Linked DNA regions of Nothobranchius furzeri. The protein of the gene in region 2 interacts with the protein of the main gene of each other region in a biochemical or structural test. Links are inferred from orthologs where the notes say so. Each region holds a gene or a part of one and is shown on either strand. Other genes may lie near its edges.

Region 1 (7,815 bases), on a different chromosome or scaffold from region 2:
AAGAAGTAAATTGTTTATGTAACACGGTTTTTATGCTCTTTTAGAATTTTATGAATTTTTCATAAATGTAGTCATGCAGGAATGGTGAGTTGTAATTGGCCCATACACTGAAGGGCTCTGTAACACCATGACTGGTATGATCAACTTGACTGTGATGAAATCAGATTGTAGTCTGATAAATATTAGGATTAGATCTGAAAATTCGGCCTGTTATTGTTGTGTACGTGTTGCATAAATAGTTATATCAAAGCACTTCTAAAGAATTGACCATTAATGTTGGGGTGTGTTGTGAAGCTGGCCCAGCCCGGCGGTGAAACCACGACTCAGGATGCAGCATCAGACCCCCGGCTCTCCCATCGGCGGCTTGATGTCCCCCACCGGTCGCTTCAGTCCCGTCCGCCACGCTGCCTCTCCAGACTTCAGCCCCAGCCGTTACAGCCCCGCCAGCGTTGGCTACATCCAACGCATCCGCCTCAGACACTTGAACGAGCCACTGCTCTAACTGCCCCCCCCCCCCCCCCCCCCCACACACACACACACACACACACACACACAACAACCCCAGCTGCTCCAGGATGACCGCAGCAGAGCTCAGCAACCACAAACCTAACAGGAATATGCACAAGTGGTACTTCTTCTATGTATAACAGGAATTCTCATCACCTTAGGCTGTGATGTCAGCTCAAGACTTTAAAAAAAAAAGAAGGAAAAAAACTTGATACTACATGTACTGTATGGGTGTGGACTATGTTGATTTGCTGAAAGTGTTTGTGGCGACGGCGACACACTTGTATGACAGCCTGAGTCACGGTTTTGGAGGACCACACTTCCCAGAGTTAGGTCACAAAAATAGAATCATCAGGATTTTGTCACAGAAGATGTTAAAAATACTAAAACAAGTCAAATATTAATATTTAAAAACTTATTTTTTGTATGTTGGTCAGTAGCACAAATTTAAATGTTTTTATTAATGAGGTTAAACCCAACTGCCATTTCCTGTGTTGTTCCTCAGTTCAGGAATTGCCTTAATGTTCTGAAGTGATGGATCAGACACACTTTAACTCGTACATAAGATGTATGAAAAACAAAACGAGAGATCTTCCATGTTTTTATTTTAATCTAATAAATGCATATCTTTTTTCCACATTTCTTGGTAGTACCTGGATGTCTCAACGATTTATTTTTGCTATGATGGCGGCCTTAAACAGTGCCATTTTGTTTTAGTCAGTCAGAAACCTCTCCTGTGTGTAAATGGTGACTCAAAGGTCAGTCGTGTGTGCTGATCCCAAATCAGCCTGAAGACCACCTCAAAGCTGCATAAGTGTTTTATCTGTGATCACTAGAGGGCGGCAAACCTAAAGGAATCCACATGTGAGAATACCTTGTCAGCTCCACAAAAACTGCCTTATGAGCTGCGTTGTGCTGTGTTAATGTCCAGTTTTATATCCTTTTTACAACAATATAATTTGACTTAATTGGGGGATTTTAACGGCTTTTATTGAAATTCTCTCAGCTGAAGTTGGTTTTACAGGAAACTCACGTGGCAGATTTTTAAAAACCACCGAGTCTAATGTGAAGTAATTCAAACCTGTATCTAAACTGTTCTGCTGGGATGCATTTTTACTGCTTTTAGAGCAACAGACAGTTATGTTGAGTATTCAAGTGGCCACTAAAGCTGAAAGAAACCTGTTTTGAATGTATTTTGTGTGAACTAAACCTTTATCTGGATGGCAGGAGATCAGCCACCGGTCTGAATGTTTGTGAGTGTGGAACTTTGCAAAAACGCACCTAAAAAACTTAAAAACCTGCTTCTTGTGCTTTCAGCTAATCTGTGCTTTTATTAAAAATAAAACTCATGGTGAGTTCTCCCTGTACGTCTTGACCAGATTTGCTTTGAATGACTCAATAAATCACTGCATTACTCACACTGTACATGTGCTTTTGTCTGATTAAGTAAGGCACAACCAGAAAGTTTCACATTTTTTAATTTATTTACCACTATTACAACAAATGATGCCCCCTTCAGTGAAATGTAAGATGTAAACAGCAGTAACTATGTTAACAGCTGTACATATAGACCTTTATTGGCTTTAAAAAAATCCTACTTATGTACAAAAACCAGGTTACATTCAGAAGGAGTTGCTTGTAACTCCTGTTGGTGATGGCAGCCAAGTAATCGCAACAAAAGCACCACACAGTCCGACAACATGGCAAATCTGTTATTCAATATAAAAGAATCAAAAGTTTATTTCAAGACACTTGGAGAGGAAACTGAGGGTCAACCCTGCAGAGAAAACCCGTGGTGCGCTGACCCATCAGGTTCGTGTTAGTTTGTCCGGGGGCATAAATCCTGCATCGCCCATAGTCCTGAGGCCCACCCGGCCACTCGGGCGAATGGTGAGCCAGGTGATGCTGCCGTTGTGCAAACCCATCCGTAACCAACCCTCTGGGGGGAACTGGAGCGCCCTGAGTACAAAGAAAACAAGAAATAGTGCTGCAGATCTGCTTTATAAACCGATGTGTTCAATGCAGTGTTTTAAATTATTTAGAAGGCTCTAGATCCTGCTCACTACCTTTAGACTAGTGTGAAAACATTTGATTAAACTTTGACAAATGTTGAGTGATGATGGGGAATGTTGTGCATGACAATATATAATAAACACATTCTAACAGGAAGAGAGATTCGCAAAAGCAAAGAGCAACGAGGCTGAAGCTCGGACCTGAGCTGAGCCTCTGCCGGCACAAACCTGCAGACAAAATAACGGATGACATTGGCATGACACACGATGATCTCATAGCTGTCCTCCTTCTGCTTGGGGTCAGCCCGGTGGATGTAGCGGCGGAAGGCTGCCTCAATTCGAGCTCCATCTTCATGGTACTGCTGGAGGACGGCAGAGAGGTTGAAAGCTGTCTTTGTCACATGAAAAGGGTTCTGTTGGAGCCTCTCAGTCAGAACATGAAGGGAATGAATGAAGAGTTTCATTCCAACGTGAGGCCAGCTACACAGACAGTACCACTGAAACTTTCAGATGATCCCTTTTAAAGACCTAAATGATCTAGACCTTAGATAAGCTTTGCTCTGGTTTTTTTTTCCCTTTGGGCAGCCATGCTTGGTTTGCAAATGCCTAATCACTAAAACTAATTTTTAGCATAATTTAAATTAACACTTCAAATTCTCACAAAGTATGTAAAAAGATCCCACACTAAATGAATGAGCTTTACAGAGGGAAAGTCACTCATCCTGTGACTCACTCCTGTGCCAGCACATTGATTATTGGATGAAACCAGCTGAGTTTAGGAGCTGCACAAACTTGACATGCAAATACAAAAAAAATAAACAAAATCCAGCCAGCTGCTGTGTTTTGGGCCCAGCGTTGGTGTAGCTTCTCTCACCACAGCATCGGGCTTCCAGTGAGTGACTGCAGGAACTGGTTCGATTGGTGCACCCTCTCTAAGCAGGTCACAGCTCACCAGCTCCACTCCTGCAATCAAATAACATATAGGTTAAAGAAAACAAACAAACATATATATAGATTTGCATCTAATCTTGTTTACTATAATGACTTTCTTTACTACCTGGAAGGTGTTTGCTGATAATATGTGCAGTTTCAGTAGCTCTGGCCATGCTGGAGTGGATCAGTACGTCATACTTTAAACCCAATGCTGCTAACCTTTGACCTGTCAGATCAGCCTGCTCACGGCCTGGGAGAGAGGACACAGATCCCTCAGAAACTAAACATTCCAAAGAATACCGTCTGCCTGAAGTTAAGTACCCAAAGGTGTGAGGATCCTATCCTTGTCGCTGCTTCCGCTCAGGTTGTACTGAGAGTGTCTGATGAGGAAAATGTGGCGTGTGGCTTTTGGTTTGCTGTTGTCCTGCTCGGAGCTGGGGTCTTCAGTCACGCTCTCCTTCTTCCTCCCATTGGACAGCGTGGATGGCTCTCTCCTAAACAGGACAGGTTATTTTCAGATTAGAGGTGGTTTAATTTAAGGAACCAAAAGCTGGGTTAATCCAACAGTGACTTAAGACCATGAGCTGAGTCACTTTGAAGAAAATCTCCCAAATCTTTCTGACAAAACTGCATTTTACCCACTGATCATTTAAATCAGCTCCCGTCAGACAGTTGATAAGTATTTACCGGCTCTAGTTTTATTTCTGAGGATGTTTTATTATCTGGATTTTCCTCTGAAATCCTGATAACCACTGATTCTGCACATGCAATGATGTGTGTGTAATAAAAGCAACAACATAAACGACCGTGCTGACACAACAACATAACATACTTGTCCCAGTTGAAGTCCCAGGAATGTCCACTCGGAATCGGGGTGACAGTTGTCCAAGCCGCCGGCTGCGCTGCATGAAGGACGGTCAACCTCGACCACCGACTGGCCAGCCCCTCTCCGCGCCGCTCACCCAAATATCCGCGAGATTCGGCTGCATTAGCAGCGAACACCAAGACTGCCGAGCCGCCGGCGAAGCCACAAATAAGTTTAAATGTTTTCCTGAACGACATCTTGTTCGCAGCCGAGAAAGCGAAACTTATGCTAGCTAATTAGCAGAGCTTAACCCGTCTGCTGTAAATAAGACGCGTGAAGCTGTTCCCCCTAAAACAAGGCGCCTTTCTGTTGCTAAAGGGCGTCTGGTTGTTAATTCTAATTCTAACAGCGTAAACAAAACCACGTATCTGCAGCACAGTTAGCTAATGAACGCCGTTTAAAGATCTAAAATCAAAAACAGAAGCCAGTAAGGAAAGAGTAAGCTAATAAAGGCGAACGCCTACAAACACTACGGTGGCCAATTTGGGTCAAAACATCATTCATGTGCTTTTAGAATTTACTCTCCGCCGCACGAGGGTGCTAAAGCCACACATTGACCTACAATGGTTCTCTGGTGAGCCTCAGCGATTTCACATCATTATCCAGCAGCTTAAACATACGAGCTTCTGCTACTCCGATTTGTAATTGAAATTTTCTGTAGGAAGTGCTGAAACGTTTGTCTGGTTGTTACTTTTAGGAGCTTCATAGTTGTAAGGCAGACCGTTGTAGCATATATTGTCACCTCACTTCTAGCATTCTAAACGTCGCAAGACACAAGATCATAAAGCAGAAGTAAGTAAAAGTGCCATACCATCCAAGAAAGTAATCAGAAATTTCTCTGAGGGGAAAAAACGAAATTACAATCATTTTCTGTTGGTGTTTTTGTTCATAAATGTGTATGCATTAACATAGTTTTGCAGCATATTGAAATTTGTAATAAGATTTTAGTCTAGTGACAAGGGTGAGAGGGGCGGGGTCCAAAAGCAGAAGCTTCACATGAGTGAGGAAGGTGGAACCTTTGCGTTTAAGAGGCCGCATGACTATTATATGACACATTTGCTTGCCCGACTGTACTGCCTTATCTGCATTTGGACTGAGGATTGGGAAAAAACAACTATGCCGAATTGAAGAGATGAAATTCTCCTTTAACAAAACGTTTTTTAAATCTTTCTGTGAATACTTAGAGAGCAGCGAAGCACCATAAAACCTTCGTATTCCAGCTAATGTTTGGTGTCACTCATCATCAAATCAGAGCAGACCTCTCACATATTGATAGATGAGAACATTTAGAGGCATTCTGCTGTTAAAATGTTGTATTTTCTGGCTGCATCCAGCCTTCGAGGCTTGGCTCCACCTTTCGGGGCGGCTGGGTGACCTCAACAGTGGGCTGGTTCTGGTTCCGGAGAGAGGGAGGGATTTCGAGGCTTTCCAGTGAGTTCGTGCCTCCTCGCGTCTTGGACCTATGCGGCTCCAGAGATAGCAGAGGCGGACTGGCTGTGCCCGGTTCGTAGCCACACATAGACGTCCGTTTTCTTTTAATACATTTCTTTTTTTTTTTTACAGCACATTGATCGGACGTTTCTTTCCCTGCATGCGCCTGCAACCGGAATAATAAATAATTGAGGAATGTGGAGAATACAGAATGCCCAACAGCGCTGGAAAAAGATTTAAACCCACCAAATACATCCCGGTGTCCACTGCTGCCACACTCCTGGTGGGATCCACCACTTTATTCTTCGTTTTCACGTAAGTCCGCATAGCTTCTTCCTTAGCCTGTCAGGATTTTTCGTTAAAATAATAATAATAATAAACTATGGGCGCTCAATTAAAACAGGACAGGATTGTAGGTGGAAGTTTGCACGGTTGGATTGAGTCACTCAGATGGGATAAGTGGGTTTAAAGGGGAATATCTGTTCCAGCTGACAGCCTGCTATCAGAGATGGTGATGGGGCAGCATTCCCTTCTTATGCAGGCTCAGAACTTCTTAAGTTGAACGGATTGGTCTGTCAGCAGCTTTTAGGCCAAACCAGTTCAAATGGCCCATCAGACTTGGATAATTACACCATCCCAGTAGTAGACATTGCAATCAAAGTCAGGCCTATCAGGGGCTCCTACCAGCTGGGCTTCACCCTGCAACCTCCAGAGTGTTTCAGTGACCAGATATGGATTTGAGCCAACAGGTCTCTCCAAAGCAGATTCAGGAAATGTGCATTTCTTTGTTCTAAAACGCAGCGACGGCTGCAGACTGGGCATTACCATAAAGGCTCTCAAGATCCCACAGCTAGGAAAGCCTTCGGCCCCTTGGCTGTCCAGCTGATGAATGAGGAGGTCAGCTCTGTGAGTGACAGCTGATGCCTCAGGTCTGAATCATCCCTCCCACAGACATTCGCCTGTAGTAATAGCTGTCAATTTATCAGTGAAATCTACATCATCCCACATTTCATATCTGCAGCATTCCCTAAGGACAGGTTGGGAGGTGGTTTCACCAGCAACAGGCACTAATGTCAGAGTGTTAAAGAGTCAGGTGATGACATAAAACTGCATTTATAATTAAAAGAAAAGAAAATTAACAGCACCGAGGCCACAGGACACATGCTGTTGAAGATATGTGACTTTATTTTGCACACATTATGCATTGCATTTTGTTGCAAAATGTCCTCAGCTGAAAGTTTTGTGTCATTTACACAGAATAAACCCAGAAATGGTTTGAGCTTCACTCCATGCGGCCGAGACAAGCATATGGTGTTTTTTGGCTTCACCTTAAAATCCCTGCTCTGTCCTTAGCTTTGCATAAACAAATGACCTGATTTACAAGTCTCGATACAGAGTGAGTGTATTCAACGTACGATCTGCAGCTGAGTCACACTGTTTTTATTTGTTTCTCATCATTTTTTAGCATGTGACTTTAAAGTTCATCCCTAAGCAGATGGCTCAGAGGGAGGGATTAAGATGTTGCTTCTTCACAGTAAAAACTCAGGATTGAGTCTTTTGTGTGTGTGTGTGTGTGTGTGTGTGTGTGTGCGCGCGCGTGTGTGTAATGCAATGGAACCTTGCGGGACGCAGCACATATCCAAACAAGGCCGAGCCTCCTCATTTTCAGACACACTTAGGGTCATCTATGGTGAACCTCGTCTGGCCTTTTCTCTGGCTGCTGTTGGAAGTTGAATTACAGTGTAAGCCAGAAAACCACAGCACAAAAAGTGTTATCTGAAATCTCTAAGCCCAAAAATAACACAAGACCTCAGTGCAACAGTAGGAGCGTGGCATGTCACAAGGCTAATAGTGGTTGAAACTTTAGCACGTACACATTTGTGGACCGCGGAGACAAAAGTTAGTTAGGTATTTATCTGAGTGTTACCATTAGGACAATAGTGCCACTTCCACATCTGTCCCAGTCCGGTCCAGGTCCCACGCTGGTGGGTTTTGTTCACACACACTTCTCAGGAACTCAGTAATCTCCTAGCATGTGGGCAGGGCTAAATACACGCAGAGATGTCT
Region 2 (7,939 bases):
ATAAGTTTTTTAAGAACTGAAAGAGAAGTTGCTAATTTTAATTCTATTTTAGCCTCATTCCAAAATTTTACTCCCATTACAGAGATACATCTCCTTTTCATGCCCTTTTTGGCTTTTTGTAGAACAAACATACATACACCTCTTAAATCATATTTACTTTCCCTCTTTGCAAAGAACATTAGTATAATTTTTGGCAGAGCTGTTAATTTTACTCTAAACATAAATTGCATTATATTATAATGATATAGATCTTCTAATTTCATAATCTGTGATTTTAAAAATAACGGGTCAGTATGAGCAAAATAATTGCTCTTGTTCATAACTCAAATAGATTTCTTTTGTATAGTTTTTATTTCATGTATATATGTTTTAAAAGTTGAACCCCATATTTCTATACAATATGCCATGTATGGTTGTATTAGTGAACAGTATATTAGACATGTATAAATGACACCTGTAGTTTGTCCTTTTTCCATTTGCGCTCAGCCCGACCAGCCAGGCACAGACAGGATCCAACGATCGCCGAGAGAAGCGGAGGTTAGACCCCGCTCCTTGTTTTCTAAATAAGGGCTTGTGAGAACAGCAAAAAGAAGCTTTCAGCTTCACCAGGAAGCCGGCGACCCCCGCGACGGTACTTATGCCGGAGAGGTGGATCTGGGACACGGCACAGGTGAGCCGGGATCTCCGATATTAGCGGGGGCAAAGTTTTATGTCCAGCTTGATTCCATTTCGCCCAGCTTTTGGCAGAAGGTCGGAGATCCAGTAGGGATAGGCGATCATATACCAAGAGAGAGTTGGCATTTCCTACAATAGTCAATAAAATCAAAACAAACAAACATAACACTGGTAGTGACCGATGGGCTGAACAGCATTTTTAAACAAAGATGAGGGTAAGATGTGGAGGGGGCATGCAGAGGTCTTCAGAGAGTTTACTAGTTTGGTTAACTCAGGCAAAGAAACAGGATCAAAGCTATCTAGGATGATGGGCCTGGTTGGAGTCGGGAGAGGCGGCGATAAGGCTGAGGGAGGGATACTAGATCTGACCTTATTGACTTTGTCCACAAAGAAAGACAGAAATTTTCCACAGTCTGCAACAGAGTGGGTGGAGGCTGTAGGAGAGACAATACTGCTGATGGTGTTAAACAGCACCTTGGGGTTCCCTTTGCTCTGGAAGGCCAGGTTGGAGAAATAGGCAAGCCTCACATCTCTGACTGCAGAGTTAAAGTATGTCAGAAGATCCTTTAGATGACACAGATGGACGTGGAGACAGGTTTTCTTCCACAAGTGCTCAATTTTTCTGATTTGTTGCTTCACCCCGGGTTCACACTGAAAGCACCAGCGGCGCGGAACAGCAGCGGAACGTCAGAGGGCAGAGGCCCCAGACCTGCCCGCAGCCACTTGCTCCAGGGCAGACCGAGCTCAGAACTCAGTGGTCTGGGACCCTGGGGTGCCTGTTGTCAATCAAAGTCAGATGTAAGCTGTTGTCTGTATACCAAAGAAAACTGAGTATGTGTCGTTGGCAGGCCCATGGTATCTAAGGGGACATTCCATATTTTTCTGAAACATTCCATACTTGTAGTGCATTCTTTTCTGACATGCCATATTAGGCCTGTGTCAACTAATCACATTTTCTCTTGGAACACAAGATGGCTAACACTAGAAAAGTCACTCCAAAGCAATGCCCATACCCCACAAAGTGAGAAAACGGCTCACATTATCAGAAAGGTTCTCAAGGGCTGGGGTTGGTAACCCTTCTTTTACTGGGTACTTCCTGGATGTCTGAGCTCTTTGCTTCAACGGACATGGAGACAGAAATGAAAGAGAAAGGGGGGTAGATCACAAAAATAAACAGGCGTCTCTACTGCCCCCAAGGTTTGAACCATTCTTACAGTAAGACTTTTACTATTATGTGTTTAAAGTACAATAAAAAAAACTCTGAAATGTTATTTGAAATTAAAAGAACCAGCAGAACTCTTGATAGTGAGTAAATCCGGCTGCTACGTTTGCCAGTGACATGGTACGCTCCCAGTTTGTAGCAGTTCTTTACGGGTCCATTTGTCTCACAGTTGTGTTTGACAAATTGCTCTGTGGTGTTTCTCCCAAGCCTGCCAGTCTTTGGCCCCCTAAAATACCCATCAGAGAGTTAAGCACACATGGTTTAAGTTTCAGCACCACCAATGTTAACATTATCTATGTTTTAAGAACCTCTTTAAAACCACTAACAAGCATAAACAATAAGGAAAATAATCTTCTAAACAATCCTATTATATTATTATATTATTATAATCCAATTTAGAACTCAAATGAAAAAGGCATAAGTGCAGAACTTGAGTAACCCTTTCCAATCAAGCATGATTTATTGTCTTTGGGCTAGTTTTTGAGCAACAGGCGTTCTGAATTTAAGCATTAGATGTTGGCATGCCTGACAATGAAAAATGTTCTTTCCACACAACTCTGACCTGTAAGGTCCAAACCTAAAGACAAAACATGCCATTTTCACACAGATTACCCCTTTTCAAAGCAGCCGTATGCAAACCAACTCTAAAATCAGCTGGTTCACACCTGTCGGAAAAAGTGGACTGATCATACCTAACATCATAATAATGATGATTCAACAAAAACCTGACTGGAGTGGGTTTTAGAATACCAAGTGATCGTTTATGAAGTTATTGTTATACCACAGGTAGTTTCTGAGTAAAGTTACAGCTAAGCTAAACTTGATGAGGCACATTCAAACTATGCTGTTTATGTTTTCTTAGAAAATATGTATCTGTGAAGATGATCATAACATAACAGAGATAGAAAATGTATCTTCTCCATTCTAAATTATAAGAATACCTGTGAACCCCCACCCCCTAAAAAAATCCCTAACGATTTACTGGAAATGCATGGGGCAGACCAATGCTCGTGTTTTATTTGACTACTACGGCAACTTTTAGTTTGAATCAAAAAGTTGACATGCATAATCACCAATATGGAAAATTATCTCAGGTTGATATATGACTGTTAAAGAGTATAGTTATTTTATGTATCCCATTAGCTTTCACTGGCATTTATTTCTGTTGGTGACAGATGCAGGTTGTATTATCAGTCCCTACCCTGTGCCTTGAGTTTCTCTGCTCCAACACCAGGTCCATCGGTTGAATCACCTCTTCAGCAGCTCTGTAACCTTTCAATTACTTGCTGATACAATCAGGTGAGAGAGCAGATAAACCTCAGATAAACATGGAGGCCCTCAAAACAAGAGATGACCGCCACTGTCCTAACAATCCTGATTAAAAATGGTCACTAATATTGTAGGTATAAGATTATGACCTTCAGACATTGTTTGAGGTGCATGATGGGATTACATTAAAATTTTAAATGAACGCTTTTTGCTGGTTACTGACCATATTTAGGCAACCCTAAAGTATGTTGGCAGTTGATAGTAGACGGCATGTTTCTGTGAAACACCCACGTGGGCGTACTTTGATCATGTGACTGAAGAGGCGGGGCCAAATGTTCTAGGTTCCCAGATTCCTCCCTTTGCTTTCGCTTCCTCATAGTTTTTATAAAACAAACTGAGCTCTTTAATCATCCTATTCTGCTCCAGGTCAAGTTCACACTAAAGACAGACTAAAGTTACAAGCTGAAGACCGGAACCAAAAGGGGCGCGTGAAGGTAAATACCGTAGTTTTCCGGCTACGGTCGATTTAGGCAACTGCGCAAATTAGCAAACAAGCTAACGAAGCTAGCTAACTGACACTTTAGCAAACTGTCAAAACCCAAAGTCACTATCTCGACATTACGCACCTACATCAAAGCAGCTGATGTGTTTATTTTTAGAATGCAGGCTTATTGAAATGCGTGTCCTTGAATAATATAGGCTAGTTTTTAGCTTTTGGTAACTCGAGCATCCACGTTTAAGCAAGGGTCACCAGCATAGAGAGCTACTTCATGTGTACTGAGCCACATTAAGGGCTACCAGGATTCTACAGTTCTGACATTTGAACTGGAATAGATCAGAGTTAAACCAAACTTCATTTATAATAAATATATTTTATTTATTTGGAAGGATTTGTAGTTTTAAAATCAATATTGATGCATTTGTAATTAAAAAAGAAGGCTGCAGATTTGTATTTCGTTTTAGATATTTGCCATTTAAAGAAGTGGCTTTATATTATGCCAGGAGGCACCATGGTGCAGTATCGTAAATTGTGCATGTTTGTCATACGGTTAAACACACATTAAGTTGTGACACACTCGTGATCATGGTGACTACTTTTTTTTTTTATAAAGATTGCCAACAACAGTGCAAAGATCAAAAGCTGATCCTCATCAATAAAGCATCTCAGATAAAATCATACTAGATGTTACAGTTTTAGGACTAAGCCTCCACCATGTAGTGGGCTTTCTGAGTATTTGGGTTGTGAGAACACATTTTCCATGTGCCAGTGTAGAGGTGGCAAAACTATTCCCCCCATCCTGCTTTCTTAGCTGGCGTGCTTTGATCTTGGGTCATTAGCCCGTGTACAGCATGTACTGTGACTCCTTATTACAGCAAATACTTTATCAGTGTTTGTCACTGTTGTGTATAATCTATTTAGGAATGCTGCTTTAGTGTAGATTGTATCAGGTTACGCCCTTTGCACCGCCTTTCCTGTTCCCATGCCTCACACAGAGTATCCAGCACCAGCATGTGATTATAGCCTGGCTGCCTCTCCCAAAGGCTTAGCCTGGATGCTCAAACCAGCTCCCTGTTGTTTTAATTCAAGTACATTTAGGACTTTTGACTAACCTTCAAATCTGCTTGTCTTTCTCCTCAGACTTCATACATTCAGTAGCTGTATCTATCCAGGAAGGTCCTAGTTCAATTATGTGTGATAATGAAGAAAATGAGCATCTGGAATCAGATGGTGCTATGGATTTTTCATTGCTCAACAATCGCCTGAACTCCTTCCGCCGCTCCATCCTGGCTGAGCAAGTTCCAGCTGAACGACTGGCACGAGCAGGCTTCTACTTCACCGGCAACGCAGACCGCGTCCGCTGTTTCAGCTGCAAGAAGACTGTGGAGAACTGGACCAGCGATGACACGCCTGTGGAGCGGCACAAGGAGGTAGATCATGGATTCAAAGTGTTGAACGATTGTGACTTTTTGTTCTGCTTTAGAGGTTTAAATAATGATCTCTCTTCCTGGTACAGGTTTCTCCAACGTGCTTGTTTCTCAAATGCTGCCACCGAACCAGTTTCAACCCGAGCTTTCATAACCCGCTCACTAATGGCTACAACGAGGCTGCAGAACACATGGAGTATCGTTTGTTAACTGGAGCCGTGACTGACGACACCATGTACCCTAAAGCCCCTCAGATGGCGTCTGAGGAAGCCCGCCTTCAGACCTTTTCCTCGTGGCCCGTTGATTCTCTTATGAGACCCAGAGACCTGGCACAAGCTGGTTTCTTTTATTTGATGAATGCTGACCGAGTGCGGTGTTTCTGTTGTGGTGGCGAGCTGAGTGACTGGGAACCAGAAGACAATGCTTGGAGTGAACATTCCAAACATTATCCAAACTGCTTCTTCATACTTGGGCATGATGTGGGGAATGTGCCGCTTCAGGAGAGCAGTTCTCAGGTCTCCATGGAGAGTTTTGAGGGGAGACTTGGCAGCTTTGCTGGTCTCCAGCTCCCTGTTGACCACAAGAGTCTCGCCACGGCGGGCTTCTACAGCTTAGGTACAGCGCCATCGTCATCTGTGGACAAAACTCATACAAAAATGAGTCACTGTTATATCGTTGTTCTGATTTTGTTTTGACACATCTGATTTGTGCTTACAGGAATGGGAGATAGGGTGATGTGTTTCAGTTGTGGTGGGAGTTTGAAAGGTTGGCAGCCTGGGGAAGACCCCTGGGAACAACACGCCAAATACTACCCAGGGTTAGAGGAAACATCTGTCTTTTCTTGGCAATAAAAATTCATTATGGAGACATTTTTATTTATGCTGCTGTAACTTTCTTCCCCATTAGATGCAGCTTCTTGTTGGCAGAAAAAGGAGTAGAATTTGTCAACAGCATCCAACTAAATGGACCCAAACAAAGTAGAGCTGTAAGCAATCTCCTTCTTTTTTTCTTGCTATTGTGATTATATGACAAACCATAGCTTGTAACTTTACCTGTCAATCTGATTCCCAAGTCCCTTTATTTATAAAAAATAAACAATGAAAAGGTTTGAATCAGCTGGAATTGTGTTTTAAATCATTTTACTTGTATTTGGTGTGTTTTAGTGAACTTTATGGAACATAAGGAACCAAATGTACTTCTCTTTAGGTCTCGGAAAATGACTGTGATGCCCTGAATCATTAGTAAATTTGGTTTGTTCAAGCTGGAAAATAATAACCTGTTTTTGCTTCCAGGTCTCAAATCCTCAGAATGGGCTTTTGGGCGCTGAAAATGGTAAATATATATTTTGATACAGTGTCTCTTATTATAAAATACAAAAAAAAAGCTTTATTAAGCTGTTTTTATCTAAATATATCAAACCAGGCTAGTGTAACTGGATACAGGTTTTTGTGTAACAGAAAATCCTCGCCGCCTGTTTTGCGAAAAAAAATTGGGCACCTTCTTTTCAGCTAAACAACTCCATTAATCTTTGCTGGAGCAACTAGGGTCTTATAGCGTCCCTTAAATGAAAACTTTTGGCTCGTTTTTAGCCCCCCCTAGAGTCCGTTATAAAACCACAGTCTTAAAACCAAAAGTGAAACTTATCTCCTCACTGCGTTTGTTTTTTTTAACACCTTAATCCAAGTACACCTTGCTGCAGCAGCAGAAAGGGGCGGCGTCGGGCCAGTGGTCAGGCACATATGAACTACAACTGTTACAATTGTTAATACTCTGTTCTATGTTCAAATTAGGCAAAATAAAAATAATTTACTACAGGACAAGGTCTGAATTTATATCCCAAAATGAAAAGGTTCCTTACAGCGAATGTCTGCCCATGGCCGCTCCAAGCATTGTTTTGTATTATCTATGGTAGTCCAGTGGTGTTACTGGTTGACTTTTGTTTTGTTTCGCCCTCTGCTGACGCTGGTTCGACTCTGGGTGGTGTTGGCAGTCATTTATTTAGCCAGCTGAAACACATTTATTTCATTTATTTGTATTTTTTTTTTCTGCAAACTATTTTATGTCTCTAAAGATCTTTGAATTTGATCGTTTCTGAGCAGCATTTTAGTTGATACTCTGCTCACACGTTGGGCATCGAGGATCGATTGGAACCGGTACCAACCGTGAGTTTTTCCCGGAATCGTTCAAAGTTTTTTATTTCGATGACTAGAATGCCGACCGGAAGAGGAATCCGCGGCCGATCTCCGTGAGAAATAAACGTGATCTGCAGATTCTGATCAACGCTTTTCTGAGCTGATCACACCAGCTGTCTGTGTGCAGCACCGAGCATGCTTTTTTTCCCTCCATAACACGTTTGTGTCTAAACGAAGGCGATGTTATTGTTCATAGAATTAAAATTCATGTTGAAGTTAGGATTATTTCATCAAGTAGGACCTGTGGTTAGCTGGCTCATGTACAGTGCTGGGAAAGTTACTTTTAAAAAGTAATTAGTTATAGTTATTAATTATTTCGTCAAAAAAGTAACTCAGTTACGAGATTATAAATGTAACTAATTACTAAGAAAAATAACAACGTTACTTTTTGCATTAAAGAATGCAAGAAAAATGGGTTAGTTGAACTTACTTAATTTACTGTAAATGACTACAATAGTGAAATATAAATGACTAATGACTGGAACATAATAAAATGTATGTCTAAATGATTTTTATAAACCTGAATAATTTAAATAAATAAGCACTTAACAGGAGGAACTACTAATAGGAACATTACATTTATCTAGACTATTAAAAGGTCTCTGTGTGATATTTAACAAGACCCCAATCAGCTAAAATTTATAATTGCAAATAG

What was found. The genes of interacting proteins can lie anywhere in the genome.
Region 1: the proteins of xiap (region 2) and pgam5 form a complex in vitro, tested with the Homo sapiens proteins (2 studies listed by BioGRID, with this or other methods). The link is inferred for Nothobranchius furzeri from reciprocal best matches to the Homo sapiens genes XIAP and PGAM5.

The regions. Positions count from the first base shown.
Region 1 is NC_091757.1:31,873,390-31,881,204, reverse strand, and holds pgam5 (serine/threonine-protein phosphatase PGAM5, mitochondrial), read right to left. Parts: upstream 4,739-7,815; 5' UTR 4,515-4,738; coding exon 4,285-4,514; intron 3,947-4,284; coding exon 3,774-3,946; intron 3,703-3,773; coding exon 3,577-3,702; intron 3,483-3,576; coding exon 3,394-3,482; intron 2,882-3,393; coding exon 2,748-2,881; intron 2,467-2,747; coding exon 2,316-2,466; 3' UTR 2,069-2,315; downstream 1-2,068. Other genes in the region: ankle2 (ankyrin repeat and LEM domain-containing protein 2), read left to right, coding at 295-502; palmitoyltransferase ZDHHC8B, read left to right, coding at 5,960-6,063. UniProt on the Homo sapiens protein: Mitochondrial serine/threonine phosphatase that dephosphorylates various substrates and thus plays a role in different biological processes including cellular senescence or mitophagy. Modulates cellular senescence by regulating mitochondrial dynamics.
Region 2 is NC_091741.1:25,547,106-25,555,044, forward strand, and holds the start of xiap (E3 ubiquitin-protein ligase XIAP), read left to right. Parts: upstream 1-3,501; 5' UTR 3,502-3,660; intron 3,661-4,805; 5' UTR 4,806-4,855; coding exon 4,856-5,095; intron 5,096-5,181; coding exon 5,182-5,707; intron 5,708-5,809; coding exon 5,810-5,909; intron 5,910-5,998; coding exon 5,999-6,077; intron 6,078-6,384; coding exon 6,385-6,424; intron 6,425-7,939.